Linked DNA regions of Lonchura striata. The protein of the gene in region 3 purifies or fractionates together with the protein of the main gene of each other region. This does not show direct contact. Links are inferred from orthologs where the notes say so. Each region holds a gene or a part of one and is shown on either strand. Other genes may lie near its edges.

The links.
Region 1: the proteins of KAT8 (region 3) and PHF20 purify together in Homo sapiens (affinity purification with mass spectrometry; 3 studies listed by BioGRID and IntAct, counting the BioPlex papers as one, with this or other methods). This does not show direct contact. The link is inferred for Lonchura striata from reciprocal best matches to the Homo sapiens genes KAT8 and PHF20.
Region 2: the proteins of KAT8 (region 3) and PHF20L1 purify together in Homo sapiens (affinity purification with mass spectrometry; 3 studies listed by BioGRID and IntAct, with this or other methods). This does not show direct contact. The link is inferred for Lonchura striata from reciprocal best matches to the Homo sapiens genes KAT8 and PHF20L1.

The regions. Positions count from the first base shown.
Region 1 is NC_134619.1:14,713,643-14,721,222, reverse strand, and holds the start of PHF20 (PHD finger protein 20), read left to right. Parts: upstream 1-4,527; 5' UTR 4,528-4,651; intron 4,652-6,797; exon of another isoform or gene 6,798-6,840; intron 6,841-7,469; exon of another isoform or gene 7,470-7,550; intron 7,551-7,580. UniProt on the Homo sapiens protein: Methyllysine-binding protein, component of the MOF histone acetyltransferase protein complex.
Region 2 is NC_134603.1:8,857,149-8,864,617, forward strand, and holds the start of PHF20L1 (PHD finger protein 20-like protein 1), read right to left. Parts: upstream 3,001-7,469; 5' UTR 2,958-3,000; coding exon 2,955-2,957; intron 2,562-2,954; exon of another isoform or gene 2,525-2,561; intron 1,541-2,524; coding exon 1,437-1,540; intron 1-1,436.
Region 3 is NC_134637.1:460,600-468,501, reverse strand, and holds the start of KAT8 (histone acetyltransferase KAT8), read right to left. Parts: upstream 3,042-7,902; coding exon 2,795-3,041; intron 1,810-2,794; coding exon 1,735-1,809; intron 1-1,734.

The DNA.
Region 1 (7,580 bases), on a different chromosome or scaffold from region 3:
TGGGAATCCAGTTGGTTCCAAGGAGTTCCTCCGTCCCGTCTGGCCGCTGAACTCAGCGGGGTGCTGCCCGGATTGAGGATAGGGAACCCCCTGGATACCCCCAAACCGGATCATCTCAGGGGTCACCAAGATTGTTAATAAATGGAAATTTATTCAGCCAAATTAAAAATAAAAATAGTTTTATTAGCAGTCAAATTCTATCTAGCCAGCCATGGAAAAAACAGTGCCGAGCCTGGGATCGATGCTGGGTGTGCAACAAGGAGTCAGCCTCAGGAGAGGTTTTCCCCTATGCCCACACACCTCCATCCTGGCACAAGTGGTTTTTTATAGGGAAAATTCCACCTAAGGCCAAGATTTCGGCAATCAGTCTTTTCTTCAATTCAGAGTCCATAGGTTGATGAGATTTTCTTTTTTGGTGATGAGAAGAACAATTCAGTGTCTGGAGTTGTTGAATCCCTTGATGAAATTTACGGGAACACTGCATTCACATGGATCTGCCCAAGGATTTCCATGATATCCATCTCGGGTTGTTCACGTGATAATCAGCACCTGGGCATCCCATATCTTTCCAGACATGGCCCATCTCCTGGCCGAGCCACATCCTTTTACGTGTAAATCGGGTTTCAACATACACCAGATTTTGCCTGCGAGGGTGGGGGGGGGCTTCTAGTACAAACGAGTATAATCTAACAAGTATCCAATATTACATATTTCATACAAGGAATGGAACAAATTATGTTTTCTACACATAACATAGATAAGAATTGATCCAGCCAAATTAAAAATGAAAAATAAAAATCTTATTTTATATCTAATTCTCTCTGAGCCAGCCACAGGGAAAAGGACAGTGCCAAACTGGTGCTGGGTGTATGACAGGAAGGACGCCTCTTGGCAGAGGTTCCCCTGGACACCCACACCACCCTCTTGGACCAAGCAGTTCTTATAGGAAATTTTCCACCTGAGGCCAGGATTTTAGCAATCTGCCTTTTCTTCCCATTCAAAGTCCCACATGTTTATAAAGTTTCTTTTCTCTCTGTTGAGGTTGAACAATCCAAGTCCAGGTGTGGACAATTTTCCTTGATGGAGTTACAGGAACGTGGCTTTCAGATGTATCAGCCCGGAGGACTCCAGCGATCCCAATATAGGGTCGTTACTGGGATGATCAATGCCTAGGTGTTCCAGTATCGCCCCAAGGAACAATCCATCTCCAGGCGAGCCAGAAGTATTAAACTGTAAATGAGACTTCGGTTTTTGGTGTAACAGATATGTGTGGGGGGTGGTGGGTAGGTTGTAGCTCTTGGTGCTGGCGTGTGTGCTGGCAACAACAAAATATTACACATATAAAGTTATATTTCCATGGACCAAATATAACAATGTTACATTGGCACAAATTATAGTCAACATATATGTCAATTTTTTCTGCATTTTTTTTCTCTTCTAGACACCTGCCATATTAAGACCACTTCTGAGATTTCCAGGTTAAAATGTAAATCTAGACTGAAAACTGTATTTTCAACCTTTTTTTTTCTTCCTGTTGCAGTATTTTTAGCAGGACACTCTGCTTCCACAGATTCCCAGCACATAGTTCACAGGCTCTGTCAGAAAAGCACTACTGCTGTACAGTGATGGGGACACTCTAGTTTAAACTATCCTGTGTGTTCTCTGGGTCCTGCAATGCTTGTGACACTGGGCTGAGGCTGATGTCAAAGAAGCAGCCAGATTTGTGTAGCAACAGCAGTTCCCACAGCTGGGGGAGGAGGAAGACAGAAGGGAAAAGCACTTGGGCCATGTTGTGTCTTCCTCCAAAGCCCACAAGCACCTGGCACTATGTGGACACCTTGGCCACAGCAGTTACTCTTTCAATCACAAAACCTGATGGGCAGCAACCCTCTGCTGGTCTGTGGCCTCTGAGCAGAATTTCAAGGATTATCCCAGGAAACCTACCTGAACCAGGGAGAATTTGTGCACCCACAGTGAACCACTGTAATATTTGACATTAAGAATTACAGCATACATAGATTTTTGTTCTTCTGTGTCAATCTGGTTTGGGCTTTAACCCAGCATGAAACTATCAAAAAAAGAAAATGAAATTGTTATAGATGAATAATGAGATGATTTGCTCTCGCAATTAAGGGATGACTATTGTGTGAATATTAAGAAAAGCTTTAATGATGTATAGTGTTGCATTGTGTTATTGAGTTTGTTCAATTTGTGAAGTGGTTTAGTCTTGCACCCCCATGTAAGTTGTCCTGCCTTCCCTTGCCTCCTCCCATCCCTATGCCAATCCTCCTTTCCCTCCTCCCCTGAAAGGTAACCCTTCTGAAGAGCCCGCCCCTGGACCCATCCATCACTCAGCAGCCCTTCCTTTCTTTCTAGAAGGTTCCACGTGGGACGTGGAGTGATAGGCCTGACAGCCAGGTCTCCTCCTACCCTCCTTTCCCATTGGTGTTCTTTCATGTTTGTCACCCTGATTTCCGCAGCCCTGTTTGATCTCATTGGCCCACTGTAGGGCCATCCTCTGGTTACCACCCACTGTTATAAACCTGTGTGAGAGGCTGCACGCTGCTCTTGCAGGCTGTCTACCCTCTGACTTAGGAAGCTCTTCTGAGCTGCCAAATAAAGTTGGGTTACAAACCCCTGCATGAGACGACTCCTTGCCTTTGTCGTCACCGCCAAGGTCTCCCTGGGGTTCAGGAATTTGCCGTCCTTACGTCCCAAGGTTTGGGAAGGTGGCCCGTGCTGACCTCGCTGTCCAGCTGAGCCAGGCACACATTTCCAGGGCAGATACTGCAGCAGTATAGTTATGTTATTGTAGTTTAGATGTTGTGAAAAAAGCATATTTATGATTGGCTTTTAGCAAATGTTACAATGAATATTGTATGTGTAATGTTAGAAAGTTATGCTGTATTAATTCTCTTACGTATTAAGTGTAGTTTTAGGTTACAACATAATGTTAAAATAGAGACTATGTATGTGGGGGGGAGTTTTCTTTTTAGGAATGAGATACTTGCTTCGAGGAGCACCTAAATCTTCCAAAGGAGAGGAATTTATGGCTTCTTATCAGAAGAAGCTAATTTCTTCAGGCCTTGCTCAGACTTGAAGATGCCAGGGGATTAAAGGGAACAGTTGACATACAACAGACAGAGTTTCTTGTTTAGAATAGAATGTATGCATAACCATAAAAGATGTATGAATATGCAACAAGTGTATTGTTTTAAGGGTGATTCCTTTGTTCACAAGTCATGCTTTTCGTGACTTAGTGTCTGAGAGCATCCGGATGTCCATAATTCTTTGCTTTTTATTGTCTTGTAATTGTCCTAACTCTAAACTTTATTACTCTAATTGTATTATTATTTTTATAACCATTTTATTAGTATTAAACTTTAAAAATTTTAAAAACCAAGTGATTGGTGTTTTTCACAGAAGTCCTCTGTTCTCCCCATAGTTCCCTTTTCCCCCCTCTGTAATGTTGCCATCAGACAGCCTGGGTTGTTTAGGTCAGGTAAAAAGAAGGCGTGCACATCTGCCTGTTCCATGAGGCAGCTGGGAATGGAAAAGCTTGTTGCTTAGGGGGTGCGGCATGGCAACACCTGACCTCCAATCCAGTTACAAGAAAGCAATCTCCGCCATCAAACGGCAAAGAAAAGCTGTCTGACAGACTTGGGGAGGGACCGGGGTTGGCTGATGCAAACCCCCTCCCAGGAGTATAAAAGACCTAGCATCCATCTTGAAGATGAACCAGCCATGTGGTACTCTTGAGGGCTATTCTCAGCGCTGTGAAGTTTTCCTTATGTAGACCTTTTGTTTTATTCCTGTTAAGGTTTAATATACCTTTTAAATTTTCAAAGTGAACAGTTGTTTTTCACAAAATTAATTTACCCCTGAATAATTCTGTTATTCACAGCAGACCCCAGTCTTCTGGCTGTACCAGAAGGTGAACACGACTGAGGGACAGTGACGACCCCCTCGGATAAGCACCCACCCGCTTCCCGGCACATGGGGCACCAGCGGAGGGAACCGAGCCTAGCCGGCGGTGGCTGCGACAGCCGCGGGCGAGTGTGTGCAGGAGCGCCCGCATCCCGACACCCGCCTCAAGGGGTCAGGCCGCCAACTCTCGCCAGTATTTCACCGTCGTGCCACCGCAGCACTCGGGCTGCCTGCAGAGCACGATGGCAGCGCCGCGCTGCGGGCCGAGCTCCCCGCGCTGCGGGCCGAGCTCCCCGCGCTGCGGGCCGAGCTCCCCGCGCTGCGGGCCGAGCTCCCCGCGCTGCGGGCCGAGCTCCCCGCGCTGCGGGCCGAGCTCCCCGCGCTGCGGGCCGAGCTCCCCGCGCTGCGGGCCGAGCTCCCCGCGCTGCGGGCCGAGCTCCCCGCGCTGCGGGCCGAGCTCCCCGCGCTGCGGGCCGAGCTCCCCTGGCAGCACCGCCCGCCCGGGGCCGCTCCCCTCAGGGTCTCTCGCCGGGGCCGCCAGGCCCCGCCCCCTGCGCGCGCCCTCTGGCCGGAGTGGGCGGGCCTCTCGCGGCCCCCGCCCCCAGCGGCGCCGCATCGCGGCGGCCATTTTGTGCGGCTGCGGTTGGTGGCGCGGGGCTTGGCGCGCCGCGGGCCCGGGCGGGGTGGCTCCATTCTAACCCCTTTTTCCCGTACAGATCCCTCGGTAAGAGCGCGGCGGCGCCCGGGCAGGCCGGGCTGCCTGCCCAGTCCCGCGCTGCGAGCCCGCGGCTCGGCGGGGAGATGCGGGGAGGGAGGCCGGGCGGGCGCGTCACCGCTCACAAAGGGCCGGGCCGGGCCGGGCCGGGCGGCGCCTCCCGCCTCGGGGCGCCGAGCGGGGCCGCTCGTGCCTCGCTGCGGCCCGGCGCGCTGAGGCCCGCGGCTCGGGCCGGCCTCGGCCGCTCCCCCGTCCGTGGCTCCCCCTCGCCGCCCGCGCACGCCGAGCTGCGCGGGCAGGTGAGTCTGTGCGGGCCGAACGCAGTCGCCACGGGCCCGTCCGGCGGGGACGGCCGAGTGACCTTGCGGCGGTACCGGGGCCCGAGCCGGGGCACGGGCCGCAGGGCGGGGGCAGTGCCGGGGCCCGAGGCGGGGATTTGACGGGTCCGGGGCTGTGTCCGGCGAGCCGGGTGCGGCGGCGAGCAGGGCCCGGCGGGTCTGGATTCCGGGGTGCTTGGCGAGGCGGCTGTGCGTGACCCGGGAGTGGGGAACCCGCGCAGAGCAGGTACTTGCCCTGCTGATGTGCCGCGTGGCTTCCGTACCGGCGGCTGGAGGCTGGAGGCTTCTGTTCCTTTTCTGTCCCATTAGATGTAGAGCATTTCTTTATCGCGCTGCATTCTGTTCCTTTAAACCATTTAAAAGAACAGAAATTGCGGTGGATATTTTCACTAAACCCAAAGCTGCCTCATGTCATACCTGTGTATTGCGTACGGTTAGGAGACACTGTGGTGTTCTTCCTAGCAGGTCTGTGTTCAGATACGGCTTTTTGCCAGCAAAGTGGATTTTTGTACCAGTTGGTAATCTGTAGCCATTCCGGGATTTAGTTAATCTAAACAGGTACAGTTTTGACAGACCGTTTTATGTCTTTTATTGACTAACAATCAAAGATGTTTCTGTGGACCCAGGCTGTTTCTACCCTAAATACTTAAAAATAAGTCAGGAGAGATACCTGAAATTTTATGAGTCCAAGTTAAGTAAAATAAATATCACTAGGCTACAGAATTTTGTTGTGTTGTATGCAGTAGGGAATTAAATGAAATGCTAAAGCAATAGTGACTTGAATTAACCTTTTGCAAGTGTCTGTACAGCAGTTAGTAATGGACCATCTCTGCAACTAATGCTTTTGACCTGGGTTCATTTAATTTTCTATAATGAGTAAGGATCCTTTCACAGAACCAGTTTCTAAAAGAAGTCAAGCAAAAAGACTTAAGCAAAGATGAGTCATAGTATAATCCTCTCTTTTAGTTTTTGTGTGACTTCTAAACTTTCATAGTAATAAAGGAACGTGAATTAGATGATTGCATGTTTTTTGAGCTAAGTCAGCTTGTGAAGTAGTTCAGTAGTTTACGCTCTTGCTGACAACTTCGTGGATGTTTCCTCAATAGAAATAAAATTTTACTTGAGCAGGCTGAGAGTAAAATCTGTCTGCCTGTAATTTTAAGGTCAAGTTGGGAATGAGGCTGGAGTATTAATTCCTCTAACTGTCCTACCTTGTCTGAAATGTAAAAAGCATGTAATTGATTCATACCTTTAATTGGCAAAGCTCTCTGTACTACTTGTTATTGCCCTTACAGTTTCTGCATGACCAGGCAATGATATTGACTTAAATTCTCCCTCTTGGCCAGGAAAGGAAAACACAACCCCTAATTTAATAGTAGAGGATGATGAATTCTCTGTAACCGCACATTTTATTTATAACTGCATGTGCAGAAGATAGGTATTGTCTGTAGCTGTAATTCAACAGGCTGACACTAGCTCTCCTGCCTGCGTGTTACTGTCCTGTCCACATGTGAGCACTTGCATTGTGAACTGAGCTAAAGAATGTACATGGGACAGGGGAAGGATTTATTGCTCAGTCCTACAAGGAGTTGTTGTCTATACAGTGTTAAAACTGTACTCTTGATATTTGTCTAGTTGAATAGATACAGTAGGGTAATTTACCTTTTAAGTAAAAAGAACAGTCCTTTGGACTGGTGCATCATACAGAGAAGTCTTGTGAAGTGCTAATGAGTTCATTGTATGTCTGAGTAAATCATTCTTTCTTTTGCTTCAATGAATTCCTTGTCTTCATACTTCATACTTTTGCTTGCCTACAGGTTTGTTTTGCTTGTACTTCCTGCAGGAAAATACTTTCTTCAGGTGAAAAATGGTGGCTTGGATCTCTTGGTTTGTCCTTGCTGTCCCAATACCAATAGCTGCATGGCCTATATATTTCTGAAGACCTTTCAGAACTACTGGCATTCCAGTATTTTTGTGACTGCAAACATCAGGCTTAAATGATTATGCATGCATGGGTGTATACTGTGTCTGTGGTCACTGGCTGAGGATAATAATGCATGTTGGAATATAAGCACACATTTCGGAAGCATGTTAGTTTGTTGACATGTCTGTGTGTCTTTTTACTGGACTGGAGAACTTTCAACCAGCCTTATTTAAGTGTAGGCAGCTACAGTCAGCCTTATTTTTTCATAAATCTACCTGAAATTGAGTTCTTAGTTAAAAGGAAATTGATTAGAAAAGAAAACGTGTCTTTAGCTTGGTAGCCTGTATTAATGAAAAGAGAGAAAGCGTGATTGCTTATTGTGCGGGGGTTTTTTTTGTTTGTTTTGTGGGCTTGATTGTTTGGTTTGGTTTTGTTTGGTTGTTTTGGGTTTTTTAATATGAAGTTAGCACGAAAGAGCTTTCCTGATCTTGTTGCTAATGTTAAAATACTAGTTTCAGAATTGACTCACTTTTCTACTGCTTAAATTCAGTACTTCTTTCCCAAGGAATTGGAGAATATCCTCTTCTTCCACAGTGTTGTTGAGTAAGGAAACTATCTTCCACACCTCTGTGCTCCATATGCAGAGGTGAGCATCCTTAGCCTAGACCTGTGCATC
Region 2 (7,469 bases), on a different chromosome or scaffold from region 3:
CCAATCCTAGAAAGTTCAGGATAAATTCTATTCTTCCTGAAAACACCCAGCAACTCAGCTGCAGAGCTTGTGACATGGCCATGCCTGACAATCCAAACCTACACAAGAGCTTCAGCACTGACATGCAACCCTTCCCTGGAAAAAGCTGGGCAGGTTTGACACAAATTATACACTGAACAGTCAGTGATACTTTTTTGATACTATTATGCTACTTTTACATATTAATTTTTGTTACCTGATTACATAAGCAACTATCTCTAGTCACAGAAGATGCTGTAAAAAGTTTTATTGCTCTATTTTGGACGTTTTCCTTATCCTGCCACTCAGTTATAGAATCAGCATGCTGAAAACCCAGTCTACAGCAACAGGTAAGAACAATAGTTCTATAAACCACATCTTTCAGAGTCCATTTATTAAGACAAACACTCTTCCTATAATTAAAATCAAAGCTCTACAAATAAAAAGTTTGACCCAACTTTTTATACAGAGCACATAACACTGGAGCAGAGACATCAATAATACACAGACTTCTCTCTCACATCACTTGGAGTTAACAGGATCAGATATTTACAGGAACATGCTGAGCTCTCCAGGAACACAACAGAAAAAAAGATACACACCTCTACACTTCCTAACCCTAATAAATCAGAGAGCAGCTAAGAAAAAACTTCTAAGTAGAAGCATCAACTACTTCTGTCACCTACTTTAAAATGAGGGATTTTTCAAATTCAACTAGCATAGCCAGGACACATCATCAAATTAGCCCACTTGCTTTAATAAAATTTATACTAGCAATTTTTTTCATCAGAACAGCTCCTTTCACAATACACATGCTGTGCAGCACAGACCTTGTGTCCACAATTCCTATTTTATAGTCTTTGAATTCACAATACACCTGGGTGGTTGCAGTCACAGTTTTAAGCACTTCATTTCTCCAGCTGTTTAATAAAAACACAACTGTATCTGCCTATCCCATGAACTCCAATTCAGGATGTGGGTTTGTTTTTTTTTTTTTTAGAATCAGTTTTGTAAACCTGTCAAGTGTGACAACTGAATACAAAACAACTCCCCTTGCATGCCTTCAAATGAAGACAAAAGAAGTCTTTGATCATGAAGTTTGCCTCATTGACACACCAATCACCTCGTCCATGACACTGAATTCCACAGACTCCAGAAAGGCTCTTTGCTTCTTACACCTGCACAAGCCACTAAGAGCAAATAAACACAAACCCGTAGAAAAGTTTAGCTTGATTTCTGAAGAGATAATATTTTCCTAAAAGCTAACACTTTTAAAGGACATAGGTGGAAATTCATAAAGTTCACATGTAGAAATTGTCAATGAATAGGTGCACTGGTTTTTATAATCGGTTATCAAAGCACACAAACGACACAAAATAATTATGCTCTCAGCAAATACTACACAATGCCTTCCGTACCATTTTTGCAAATAGTCCAGTGCCTCCAAACGAGCACCAATCTCAAATGTGATTCCAGGACGATTTGGAGGCTTTTTACTCATCTTGATATTCTTTTTCACCACCTTTGAAGGAGGGAAAAAAAATAGCATTAAAACACATCATGTTGTTTAAAAGGTGTCATAGACAGCAAATATATTCCAGAGGGTGTAAAGATGCAAAATTTTGATCCTGAGTTTGTATTAACTACTTACCTTACAGAAATACAGTCAGGGAAAAAAAAAAAAAAAAAGGCATCAAAAAACATTCATACATACTTTTATTCAGATTTCTTTCCCTTCAAAACTATATGTTATCAACCTTAAGTCAAAACATAATAAGAAAAAAACCATAGTGCTCATCTCTGAAACTATACTAGCATGTAATTCCTTCACATCATTTTTAAGCCAAATTTTAATTTACCTATAGTTAATATGTGTGCTGTCTTCCGGTGAAGAAAACGCAAACCAAGAAAAACGTACCTTACCAAGAACAGATAAACATGGCCTAAAGGGCAAGTAAGATGAAATTAGCATAAATAGAAACAAACAAAACCCCATCTTGAGTATTTCTATGCACTCTGGAGTCGCACTCACAGCAATGAGTTTCAGCCACAACTGGCTTCTAATTTTATTTTGTAGCCCAGTCACTATAAAAAAAAAAAAAACCAAAAAAAACCAACTCTTTGTGCAAGTACCGTGGCGGAGCTCCCTGTGCCAGCCCAGGCGCACTTGCCGAGCGGGAGTGCCGGGACGCGGGGTCGGAGCCTCCCAGCCCCGCACTGCGGGGGGAGCGGCACCCAGGGGCTCCTCCGGGAGCGCGGAGACGCCAAGGGCGCAGCGCAGCCGGCCCGGGAGCGGCGGGCCGGGAGCGGCGGGGCCGCAGCGCTCCGCGCTCCGGGGGAGGCCCCGCCGGACCCCCGGCCGCGGGCGGGGCCCGGCGCCAGCACAGCCGCGGGCGCCGCCCGCCAGGCCCGGCCGGCTTGCGGGAGCGCCGGCGCCTCGTAGCCCGCGCTCCCTCCGCATTCCCTCCGCATTCCCTCCGCGCCTCCCCCGCGCCGCCGCCCTTACCGCCCGCTCGGCTCGCTCGGGGCCCGGCGCGGCTGCCGCGGGCGCTCCGGCACGGCCGCCCCTCACCGCCCCATCCTGCCCGCGCCCCGCGCGCGTCACCGCCGCGCGACGGCCCCGCCCCCGGCACGTGACTGCGCGGGGCGGGGGAGCCAGACAAAGAGCGGCGGCCGCGGCCGGGGACGGCGGCAGCGGGACACGGGGACAGCGGCACCGCCTCGCCACCGGCACACACGGCACACACGGCACACACGGCACACACGGCACACACGGCACACACGGCCTCGCCACCGGCACACACCGCCTCACACCGGGCACGCACCGCCTCGCCACCGGCACACCGCCTCACACCGGGCACGCACCGCCTTACACCGGGCACGCACCGCCTCACACCGGGCACGCACCGCCTCACACCGGGCACGCACCGCCTCACCATCGGCACACACCGCCTCGCCACCGGCACACACCGCCTCAGCCCCGGCACACACCGCACTCATCGCCTCACCACCGGCACGCACCGCCTCACATCTCCTCGCCACCGACACCGACGCCTCAGCCCCGGCAGATACCGCCAGCCCCGCCGCACAAATAGCGGGGAGCGAAGGGGCTTGTCCAGCGGGGGGAAAGGAAGGTGTTTAATTAAAGCACCGGAGCATTTCTCGTACTGACAAGGGCTGAGGGAGTTGCAGCTCTTCAGCCCCACAAGAGGCGGCGGAGAGGGGACCTCGTCCGGGAGTTTCTGCAGGGAGGTGTCCAGAGGATGGATCACGCTCTGCTCGGTGGTGCCAAGTACGAGGACGAGAGGGAAGGGACAGAAACTGATACACAGGGAGTTTCAGCCGAATAGGAAGAACTTCTGTGTGCAGTGACCCTAGCCTGAAATACTGCCTAAAGAGATGTGGAGTCTCTCCCCTGATTCAAGTGGACACAATCCTGTGCAATGCGTGCTAGAATGGCCCTGCTTGAGCAAGGAGGTTGGACCGAATGACCCACTGCTGTCCCTTTCCTACCTGACCAGTTCTGTGACTCTGGGATCTGTAATTCTGTGATAGGGAGAAAAAGACTCAGGGCAGTCACTGAGATGGTCCTGGAGGTGCCACAGGACAGTCCTGGCCAGGCAGCAGCCTCACAGTGGCCTGTCTTTGCCTCTTGTTTTTTACCCATGAAACCAGCTTCATCTGATTTTCTTGCTTTTAATCATCCCAGCCTCCCCACCATGCTGCTGAGAGCTGGGTGGGTGCTTGGCAGCTGGTGAAACAGCCCACTGCTGTCCCTGTGACACCCAGTCTTGTGGTGACTGCTGTGCTGCTTATCACTGTGTTCTGCTCTGCCTGAAAGACCTATGATAAAGGCAATGACCATGAGCCAAGTCTGGCATTTAGCCCCTGCATTGCTGCCATCCCAGTGCTCAGGGAACAATTTCATGGAGTCTTTCCTTTTCTTCTCCAGGACAGATGTTCCCAAGCTTGTAATGGCAAGATCAGCATCATCACATCACCATGGATGTGATCAGTAAAACAAATGTCAAGTTTCCACCAATTAATAAAAAGGCATAGTGTATTTCTGGAAACTGCACATTCTGGATCATAGTCAGCTTGTGACTCCTTTCCATTAAGTGACCTTTAAGAGCTTTTTTCAGTGTATTGAGTTTGTGTGGCAAGACCTTAGTAGTGGGGAGTTTCTGCGAGGAGCTGCCAGAGGCTTCCCCAATGTCCACCAGAGCCAAAGCCAACTGAGATCCACCAGTGGCCAGTGCTCAGGCCATCAGTGACAGTGTTTTACCTCTGATGGTAACTGGTGAGTGATCCTTAGGAATGACCTCTCCTCTTGCCCTAGAAACCTTTTGTTACATTTACTCTCCCCTGTCCATTTGGGAAGGGCAGTGACAGAGTAGCTTTGGGGGGCACCTGGTGTCCAGACAAGGTCACTAAACAGCAGCAGGACAGACAGGACAGTTTGTATGGTAGCCCTGGGACCTGTCCAGAGAGTACCAGCTGTGAGAAACATGCTCTGTTCTCACGTGGAACCTCTGGCAGAAAACCTGTAAAGATCCAAGGTTGACCTCTAGGGTTCTGCAGCTGAGGGTGTCAAGGGTCTGAGATGTACCAGATGTTCACAGGACGGGGCACCTCTACACATAATGCAACTGAAGGTTCATGGAATAAGGAGGTGGGACTGATCACACAGTGGGCTCAGATGAGGACTCCCACTGCCCTTGAATGCTGAAAGAGGTCACCATTGAGCCAGGAGGCAGAGATTTCAGAGCATCATCTGAGGAGGTGGCTCAAGCCCAAAAGTATAATAAATAGCAGAAAGTGAAAGGCAATATGCTCAGTTTACTAATGTTTCCTGTTGCACTGTGCAAAACCATCTGATGTGGAAAGCTACTGGTTGGAGCACAAGTCAAGGGCCAAATTAATTCATTTGATTTGTATGGATGTTTGGGGGATGCCCCACAGACTAAGGGAGCAACATCTGTGCACGTGTCACTGGACAAGGACGGGGATAATGACTGATGGTGATGTTGATAACACACCAGGGTGGTGGATGCTGCTGAATAACATTTCCACAGTGTCAGGGCTCACTATTTTTTTTCCCACTCATCTTCCCCAGTAAGTAGGTAAGGGGTGGGCAAGAGACTGGGAGGGACAGAACTAGCACAGTTGACCTAAACTGGCCAAAGGTATATTCCATACCATAAAACATGGACCTCAGCAAGAAAATCTGGGACAGAAGAAGAATAAGACTGGTGGGACATTTTCTTCCAAGGTGACCACTGCTGGGAGATGGAGTGGTATAGGTCTGCTGGTGGGAAGTGCTTAGTGCTTGCCTTTGAATTGCTTGGAGGTTTTTTGGGTTAGGTTGTTTGGTTTAGGGGTTTTTGCTTTCGTTTATTAAACTGCATTTATTATTAGATCATGCAGATCTGCAAACATTTCTGGGGTGCTGGTTGACAGTGACTGAACACAAGCCAGCAGTGTGCCAAGGAGATCAATGGCATCCTGGTTTGTATCAGAAATAGTGTGGCCAGCAGGACTAGGGAATTAGATTGTCCCTCTGTACTTGGCACTGGTGAGACTGTATCTTGAATCCTATGCTTAGTTTTGGGGGCCCCTCACTGCAAGAATACACTGAGCTGCTGGAATGTGTCCAGAGAGTGGCAGTGGAGCTGGGGAAGGGTCTGGAGCACAGACCCTTCTGATGTCTGAAATCAGATGAACAGCAGCTGAGGGAGCTGGGGGTGTTCAGCCTGGAGAAAAGGAGGCTCAGGGAGGACCTCATCACTCTCTACAACTCCCTGAGAGGAGACTGTAGCCAGGTGGGGTTGGTCTTCTCCCCTAGGCAACAAGTGATGGGACTTGGAAAAGGCCTCGAGGTGTGCCAGGGGATGTTTAGATTGGATATTAGGAAAACATTCTTTACAGAAAGAGTGGTCAGGCATTGGAACAGGCTGCACAGGGAAGTGGTGGAATCACCAGTCTTCAAAGTGTTCAAAAACACGTGGATGTGGCAGTGGGGGTCATGGGTGAGTGGTGAACAGAATGGTGCTGGGTTAATGTTGGACCCAATTGTCTCAGAGTACTTTTTCAACCTCAATGAATCTATGATTCTCACTTTTGTTTTTCCCATTCTCTCTTCCCTACGCCACTGCTGGGGGAGTGAGCGAGTGGCTGTGTGGGCGTTTGGCTGCTGTTCAAGGTCAATCCATCTGCTTCATTTAGTCCCCAGGAGGCTGCCTCCCACTTGAGGAGTCTTTATAGACAGACTGTTCAGTAGAATATTTTAGATTATTTGCTAAGATATTTTTTTTTTCTCCCTAGATTTTCCCTTGTTACCATTTTCTGGAAGGTGGTGACAAACAGAAGAGACTGAAGAAAGAAGGAGGCTTGAAGAAAAACAAAGGAAACAAAATAAGAAAACAAAGAAGGGAAGGAAAGGGAAAGGAAATAAGTTTTATTTCTTTTTTTTTTAGTAAAATTGCCATTGCATTCATTTGAATTCTCCATCTCATACTACTCTTGGTGTAGTTTTGATGCAATTTTTGATTTAAAGGATTTGGTACAGGATAGTGAAGGTTGTTGTGTAAGGAACGAGCTCTCTTTTAGCAGCAATGAATAAGCAGCATTAAGATAATTAGAAAAGTGGAGGTTCTTCTGTCCAAGGAGAGGGAATGGGGGAAGATAAGAGGCCATGAGGATGGAGCTGGGTACATGGGTACACTGAATGATGCTCTTGACCACTGAAGGCTGAGTAATGCCATGGTGAGGGATGGGCTCAGAGCAGTGTGTGGCACCCTTAGCATCACCTCGCTGCAGAGGCTGTTGAGAGGGAGGCAAAGCTGGCAGGAGGTGGCAGAGGCACAGCAAGCCCTTTGTATTGATTAATATGTACTAAAAGCACATCTGTGCACACAAAAGAGCACAGGAGGACAAACCCAGGAGCAACCAGCCCATCAAAGGCCCATTTCCTCAAGCTCAGAGGAGCACAGGGACACAGGGCGGTGGGAGCCAAATTAAAGACTTAGAGGAAGGGACACCTGATGCAAGGTTCCATGTGTGACTCCTACCACACTTCAGAACAGCAGAAGTCCACTTGTGGTCCAGCAGCACATGGCATTATTGTCAAAACAATTATGAAAATAAGGAGCCCCAGGCACTGTCCCCATTTCTTTGCTGCCATTTCATGTATACCCATCCCTGCCCTGCTGTAGCCCACAGGCACCCACCACCCCTGTTGGCCCTGATTTGCCTATCCCAGTGCCTCCCTAGCTCTGCCCATGGCCCAGGACCCTGTTTCAGCTACACTATTCCACCATAAAGCCAGCAAGGAGCAATTTAGGTCAAGACATTTTTTATATTCTTTTAGCACAAAATCATATCTGATATTTAGTTTTGTCTCTGAGGAAAACAAGGCCTAAATGGCTGCATTTCCTTTCTGCCTTCCATTT
Region 3 (7,902 bases):
AACTGGGAGCACTGGGACTTACTGGGAGCGCTGGGAGCCCGCCCAGTTCAGCCCAGTTCATCCCAGTTCATCCCATCCATTCCCTACCCATGAAATCCCCATGGTGTGCATTGAACTGGGAGCACTGGGAGCACTGGGAACCATCCCCAGCTGGTTCCGGTCCACCCACTCGTCCAGCCGCCGGTTAACTGGGAGCACTGGGACTTACTGGGAGCACTGGGAGCCTGCCCAGTTCAGCCCAGTTCATCCCATCCATTCCCTACCCATCAAATCCCCATTGGGTGCATTGAACTGGGAGCACTGGGAGCACTGGGAGCCATCCCCAGCCGGTTCCGGTCCACCCACTCGTCCAGCCGCCGGTTAACTGGGAGCACTGGGACTTACTGGGAGCACTGGGAGCCCTCCCAGTTCAGCCCAGTTTGGCCCGTCCATCCCTACCCATCCCACGGCCTTGAAATCCCCCCATACTGGGAGCACTGGGAGCCATCCCCAGACATCCCAGTTAGCCCAGGGCCTTCAAATCCCCCCAGTTTGGGGTTAACTGGGAGCACTGGGACTTACTGGGAGCACTGGGAGCACTGGGAGCCCTCCCAGTTCAGCCCAGTCCCTCCCAGTTCAGCCCATCCATCCCAGAGCCATTAAATCCCCATGGTGTGCATTGAACTGGGAGTACTGGGAGTACTGGGAACCATCCCCAGCCGGTTCCGGTCCACCCACTCGTCCAGCCGCCGGTTAACTGGGAGCACTGGGACTTACTGGGAGCACTGGGAGCCCTCCCAGTTCAGCCCAGGTCATCCCAGTTCAGCCCGTCCATTCCCTACCCAAGAAATCCCCATGGTGTGCATTGAACTGGGAGCACTGGGAGCCATCCCCAGTTGGTTCCGGTCCACCCACTCGTCCAGCCGCCGGTTAACTGGGAGCACTGGGACTTACTGGGAGCACTGGGAGCCCTCCCAGTTCAGCCCAGTTCAGCCCGTCCATCCCAGAGCCATTAAATCCCCATTGGGTGCATTGAACTGGGAGCACTGGGAGCCATCCCAGTTCATCCCAGTGTGTCCCAATCCCCCCAGTATGGGGTTAACTGGGAGCACTGGGCCTTACTGGGAGCACTGGGAGCCCGCCCAGTTCATCCCAGTCCCTCCCAGTTCAGCCCATCCATCCCAGAGCCATTAAATCCCCATGGTGTGCATTGAACTGGGAGCACTGGGAGCCCTCCCAGTTCATCCCAGTCTCTCCCAGTTCCGTCCCAGTAGCTCCCAGTTCCATCCCAGTTCCCTCCCAGTTTGTCCCAGTTCCATTCCAGTGGCTCCCAGTTCAGCCCAGTTTGTCCCAGTCCCTCCCAGTTCCATCCCAGTGCCTCCCAATCCCCTCCCAGTTTGTTCCAGTTCTGTCCCAGTGGCTCCCAGTTCATTCCCAGTCCCTCCCAGTTCCATCCCAGTGGCTCCCAGTTTGTCCCAGTCCCTCCCAGTTCATTCCAGTTCCCTCACAGTGCTTCCAGTCCATTCCCAGTCCCTCCCAGTTCCATCCCAGTGGCTCCCAGTTCATCCCAGTGCCTCCCAGTTTGTTCCAGTCCCATTCCCAATCCCCTTCCAGTCCATCCCAGTTTGTCCCAGTTCATTCCAGCCCCTCCTAGTTCCATCCCAGTCCCTCCCAGTCCCATCCCAGTCCCTCCCAGTCCATCCCAGCCCCCTCCCAGTGCCTCCCAGTTTGTCCCAGTTTGCCCAGTTCACTCACAGCCCACGTAGTGCACGTAGAACTCCTCGCGCGCCTCCTGCTCGTTCAGGCGGGACTGGATCACCTCGGCCGAGTCTGGAACAAACTGGGATGAACTGGGATGAACTGGGAGGGACTGGGACAAACTGGGAATGGGACTGGATCACCTCGGCCGAGTCTGGAACGAACTGGGATGAACTGGGAGGGACTGGGACAGACTGGGAATGGGGCTGGAACAAACTGGAATTAACTGGGAGGGACTGGGAAGGACTGGGACAGACTGGGAATGGGCCTGGAACAAACTGGGATTAACTGGGAGGGACTGGGACAGACTGGGAATGGGCCTGGAACAAACTGGGATTAACTGGGAGGGACTGGGACAAACTGGGAATGGGGCTGGAACAAACTGGGAGGGACTGGGACAAACTGGAACAAACTTCCCCTCCTTTCCATTCCCAACACTCCCAATATAAACCAGTACAACCCAGTATAACCCAGTATAATGCAGTACAACCCAGTACACCCCAGTATAAACCAGTACAACCCAGTATAACCCAGTATAATGGAGTACAACCCAGTATAACCCAGTACATCCCGGTTCAAACCAGTACACCCCAGTACAACCCAGTATAACCCAGTACACCCCAATATAAACCAGCACAAACCAGTACACCCCAGTACAACCCAGTATAACCCAGTACACCCCAGTACAAACCAGTACACCCCAGTATAACCCAGTACACCCCAGTATAACCCAGTACAAACCAGTACACCCCAGTATAACCCAGTACACCCCAGTATAACCCAGTACAAACCAGTACACCCCAGTATAACCCAGTACACCCCAGTACAAACCAGTAGGACCCAGTACACCCCATTCCCCCCGTTCCCCCCCAGTACACCCCAGTACAAACCAGTACACCCCAGTACAAACCAGTACACCCCAGTACAAACCAGTACACCCCAGTATAACCCAGTACACCCCAGTATACCCCAGTATAACCCAGTACACCCCAGTACAAACCAGTATAACCCAGTACACCCCAGTACAAACCAGTACACCCCAGTACCCCCCACTCACGCCAGCTGCCGTCCGCCCTGCGGCACAGGTACGTCTCCCCGATCTCCACCGCCACCTCCGCGTCCCGCGCCGCTCCCGCCGGGCCCCTCCCGCCTCCGCCGCCGCTCCCGGCCCCGCTCCCGGCCCCGCTCCCGGCCCCGCTCCCGGAGCCGCCCCCGGGACCCTCCGGGGCCGCTCGGGGCCCGCCCGGGGCCGGCCCGGAGCCGCCCGGAGCCTCCGGGAGCGGGCCCGGCCCGGCCGCCGCCATCTTGGGGAGAGCCGGAAGTGAGGGCCGGAAGTGAGAGCCGGAAGTGAGGCGTTGCCAGGGGACAGAAAAGGCGGGAAAACGGTTGCTAGGGAGACCGAAAAGGGCGGGAAAACGGCTGCGGGGAGAAAAAAAACAACCCAATTTTTAGGTAAAAAAACCCCCTTTTTACGCCAAAATTCCCTTTTTTACCCCAAAGTTCAATTTTTTCCACCTGAAAATTCCCAATTTCCTCCCAAAATTCCCATTTTTTCCCCCAGAAATTCCCATTTTTCTCCTCAAATTCCCAATTGCTATGGAGACCAAAAAAGGCGGGAAAACAGCTGAGGAGAAAAAAAATCCCAATTTTCAGGTAAAAAATTCCCTTTTTTACCCCAAAATTCCCTTTTTTACCCCAAAATTCCAATTTTTTCACCTCAAAATTCCCAATTTTCCCCCAAAACTCCATTTTTTCACCTCAAAATTCCCAATTTCCTCCCAAAATTCCAATCTGCCCCCAAAATTCCAATTTTTTACCTCAAAATTCCCATTTTTCTCCCCAAATTCCCAATTGCTATGGAGACCAAAAAAGGCAGGAAACAGCTGTGAGGAGGAAAAAAATCCCAATCTCCAGGTAAAAAATTCCCTTTTTTACCCCAAAGTTCAATTTTTTCACCTCAAAATTCCCAATTTCACCCAAAACTCCAAATTTCCTCCCAAAATTCCCATTTTTTCCCCCAGAAATTCCCATTTTTCTCCTCAAATTCCCAATTGCTAGGGAGACCAAAAAAGGCGGGAAAACAGCTGAGGAGAAAAAAAATCCCAATTTTCAGGTAAAAAATTCCCTTTTTTACCCCAAAATTCCCTTTTTTACCCCAAAGTTCAATTTTTTCACCTGAAAATTCCCAATTTCCTCCCAAAATTCCCATTTTTTCCCCCAGAAATTCTCATTTTTCTCCTCAAATTCCCAATTGCTATGGAGACCAAAAAAGGCGGGAAAACAGCTGAGGAGAAAAAAAATCCCAATTTTCAGGTAAAAAATTCCCTTTTTTACGCCAAAATTCCCTTTTTTACACCAAAGTTCCAATTTTTTTCACCTCAAAATTCCCAATTTCCCCCCAAAACTCCATTTTTTCCCCCAAAATTCTCATTTTTCTCCCCAAATTCCCAATTGCTAGGGAGACCAAAAAAGGCGGGAAAACAGCTGAGGAGAAAAAAAATCCCAATTTTCAGGTAAAAAATTTCCTTTTTTACCCCAAAATTCCCTTTTTTACCCCAAAGTTCCAATTTTTTCACCTCAAAATTCCCAATTTCCCCCCAAAACTCCATTTTTTTTTACCTCAAAGTTCCCATTTTTCTCCCCAGATTCCTAATTGCTATGGAGACCGAAAAGGGCGGGAAACTGCTGTGGGGAGAAAAAAAACCCCCAATTTTCAGGTAAAAAATTTCCTTTTTTACCCCAAAATTCCAATTTTTTCACCCCAAAATTCCCAATTTCCCCTCAAAATTCCAATTTCCCCCCAAAACTCCAAATTTTTACCTCAAAATTCCCATTTTTTCCCCCAAAATTCCCATTTTTCTCCCCAGATTCCCAATTGCTAGGGAGACCAAAAAAGGCGGGAAAACAGCTGAGGAGAAAAAAAATCCCAATTTTCAGGTAAAAAATTCCCTTTTTTACCCCAAAGTTCAAATTTTTCACCTCAAAATTCCAATCTGCCCTCAAAATTCCAATTTTTTACCTCAAAGTTCCCATTTTTCTCCCCAAATTCCCAATTGCTATGGAGACCGAAAAGGGCGGGAAAACGGCTGTGGGGAGAAAAAAATCCCAATTTTCAGGTAAAAAATTTCCTTTTTTACCCCAAAATTCCAATTGTTTCACCCCAAAATTCCCAATTTCCCCTCAAAATTCCAATTTCCCCCCAAAACTCCAAATTTTTACCTCAAAATTCCCATTTTTTCCCCCAAAATTCCCATTTTTCTCCCCAGATTCCCAATTGCTAGGGAGACCAAAAAAGGCGGGAAAACAGCTGAGGAGAAAAAAAATCCCAATTTTCAGGTAAAAAATTCCGTTTTTTACCCCAAAGTTCAAATTTTTCACCTCAAAATTCCCAATTTCACCCCAAAATTCCAATTTTTTACCTCAAAATTCCCATTTTTCTCCCCAAATTCCCAATTGCTATGGAGACCAAAAAAGGCAGGAAACAGCTGTGAGGAGGAAAAAAATCCCAATCTCCAGGTAAAAAATTCCCTTTTTTACCCCAAAGTTCAATTTTTTCACCTCAAAATTCCCAATTTCACCCAAAACTCCAAATTTCCTCCCAAAATTCCCATTTTTTCCCCCAGAAATTCCCATTTTTCTCCTCAAATTCCCAATTGCTAGGGAGACCAAAAAAGGCGGGAAAACAGCTGAGGAGAAAAAAAATCCCAATTTTCAGGTAAAAAATTCCCTTTTTTACCCCAAAATTCCCTTTTTTACCCCAAAGTTCAATTTTTTCACCTGAAAATTCCCAATTTCCTCCCAAAATTCCCATTTTTTCCCCCAGAAATTCTCATTTTTCTCCTCAAATTCCCAATTGCTATGGAGACCAAAAAAGGCGGGAAAACAGCTGAGGAGAAAAAAAATCCCAATTTTCAGGTAAAAAATTCCCTTTTTTACGCCAAAATTCCCTTTTTTACACCAAAGTTCCAATTTTTTTCACCTCAAAATTCCCAATTTCCCCCCAAAACTCCATTTTTTCCCCCAAAATTCTCATTTTTCTCCCCAAATTCCCAATTGCTAGGGAGACCAAAAAAGGCGGGAAAACAGCTGAGGAGAAAAAAAATCCCAATTTTCAGGTAAAAAATTCCCTTTTTTACCCCAAAATTTCCTTTTTTACCCCAAAGTTCAATTTTTTCCACCTGAAAATTCCCAATTTCCTCCCAAAATTCCCATTTTTTTCCCCAGAAATTCTCATTTTTCTCCTCAAATTCCCAATTGCTAGGGAGACCAAAAAAGGCGGGAAACAGCTGAGAGGAGGAAAAAAAAAAAAATCCCAATTTTCAGGTAAAAAATTCCCTTTTTTATCCCAAAATTCCAATTTTTTCACCTCAAAATTCCCAATTTCCCCCCACAATTCCAATCTCCCCCCAAAATTCTAATTTTTTACCTCAAAATTCCCATTTTTCTCCCCAGATTCCCAATTGCTATGCAGACCGAAAAGGGCGGGAAACTGCTGTGGGGAGAAAAAAAACCCCAATTTTCAGGTAAAAAATTTCCTTTTTTACCCCAAAATTCCAATTTTTTCACCTCAAAATTCCCGATTTCCTCCCAAAATTCCAATTTTTTACCTCAAAATTCCCATTTTTCTCCCCAAATTCCCAATTGCTATGGAGACCAAAAAAGGCAGGAAACAGCTGTGAGGAGGAAAAAAATCCCAATCTCCAGGTAAAAAATTCCCTTTTTTACCCCAAAGTTCAATTTTTTCACCTCAAAATTCCCAATTTCACCCAAAACTCCAATTTTTTACCTCAAAATTCCCATTTTTTACCCCAAAATTCCCATTTTTCTCCCTAGATTCCCAATTACCGTGGAGACGGAAAAGGGCGGGAAAACAGCTGTGAGGAGACAAATTCCCAATTTTCAGGTAAAAAATTCCCTTTTTTACCCCAAAATTCCCAATTTCCCCCCAAAATACCATTTTTCTCCCCAAATTCCCAATTGCTATGGAGACCAAAAAGGGCGGGAAACAGCTGTGAGGAGAAAAACGTCCAATTTTCAGGTAAAAAATTCCCTTTTTTTACCCCAAAGTTCAATTTTTTCACCTCAAAATTCCCAATTTCCACCCAAAACTCCAATTTTTTACCTCAAAATACCATTTTTTCCCCAAAAAATTCCCATTTTTCTCCCCAAATTCCCAATTGCTATGGAGACCGAAAAGGGCGGGAAACGGTTGTGAGGAGACAAATTCCCAATTATCAGGTAAAAAATTCCCTTTTTTACCCCAAAGTTCAATTTTTTCACCTCAAAATTCCCAAATTTTGCCCCAAATTCCCAATTTCCCCCCAAAATTCCCATTTTTCTCCCCAAATTCCCAATTGCCGTGGAGACCGACAAGAGCGGGAAATGGCTCTGAGGAGACAAATCCCCAATTTTCAGGTAAAAAATTCCCTTTTTTACCCCAAAATTCAATTTTTTCACCTCAAAATTCCCAATTTTCCCCCCAAATTCACAATTTACCCCAAAAATTCACTTTTCGCCCCCAAAATTCCAATTTTTAACCTCAGAATTCCCATTTTCCCCCCAAAATTCAGATTTTTCCCCCAAAATACCATTTCCCCCCCAAATTCCCATTTTCACCTCAAAATTCCCAACTTTTTCTGCCAAATTCCCAATTTTTACATCAAAATTCCATTTTTTGTGCCAAATTACCATTTTTTCCCCAAAAAACTACAGGTTTTTGCACGAAATTCCCCATGTTTTCCCCCAAATTTCCCACTTTTTCCCCAAAAATTCCATTCCCCCCCCTAAATTCCGAATTGCGAGGAGACGGGAACGGGCGGGAAAAGGGAAAATTCCCAATTTTTGGGGCAAAAATTCCCAATTTTTGGGTCGAAAATTCCAAATTTTCGGGTTGAAAATTCCCTTTTTTACCTCAAAATTCCCAATTTTTAGCCCTAAATTCCCAAATTTTACCCCGAAATTCCCAATTTTTCGCCTCAAAATTCACATATTGCTCCCCCAAATTCCCGATTTTTTTACCACGCCCACTCCCAGCCAACCACACGCAATTAAGAATAAAACTTTTAATTATGAATATGCAAATGAGGGGCGGGACAGAAGTGTTTGTAGGTGTGGTCAGAGATTTAGGCCACGCCTATTTGTTAATTAACCACGCCCATTTCCACC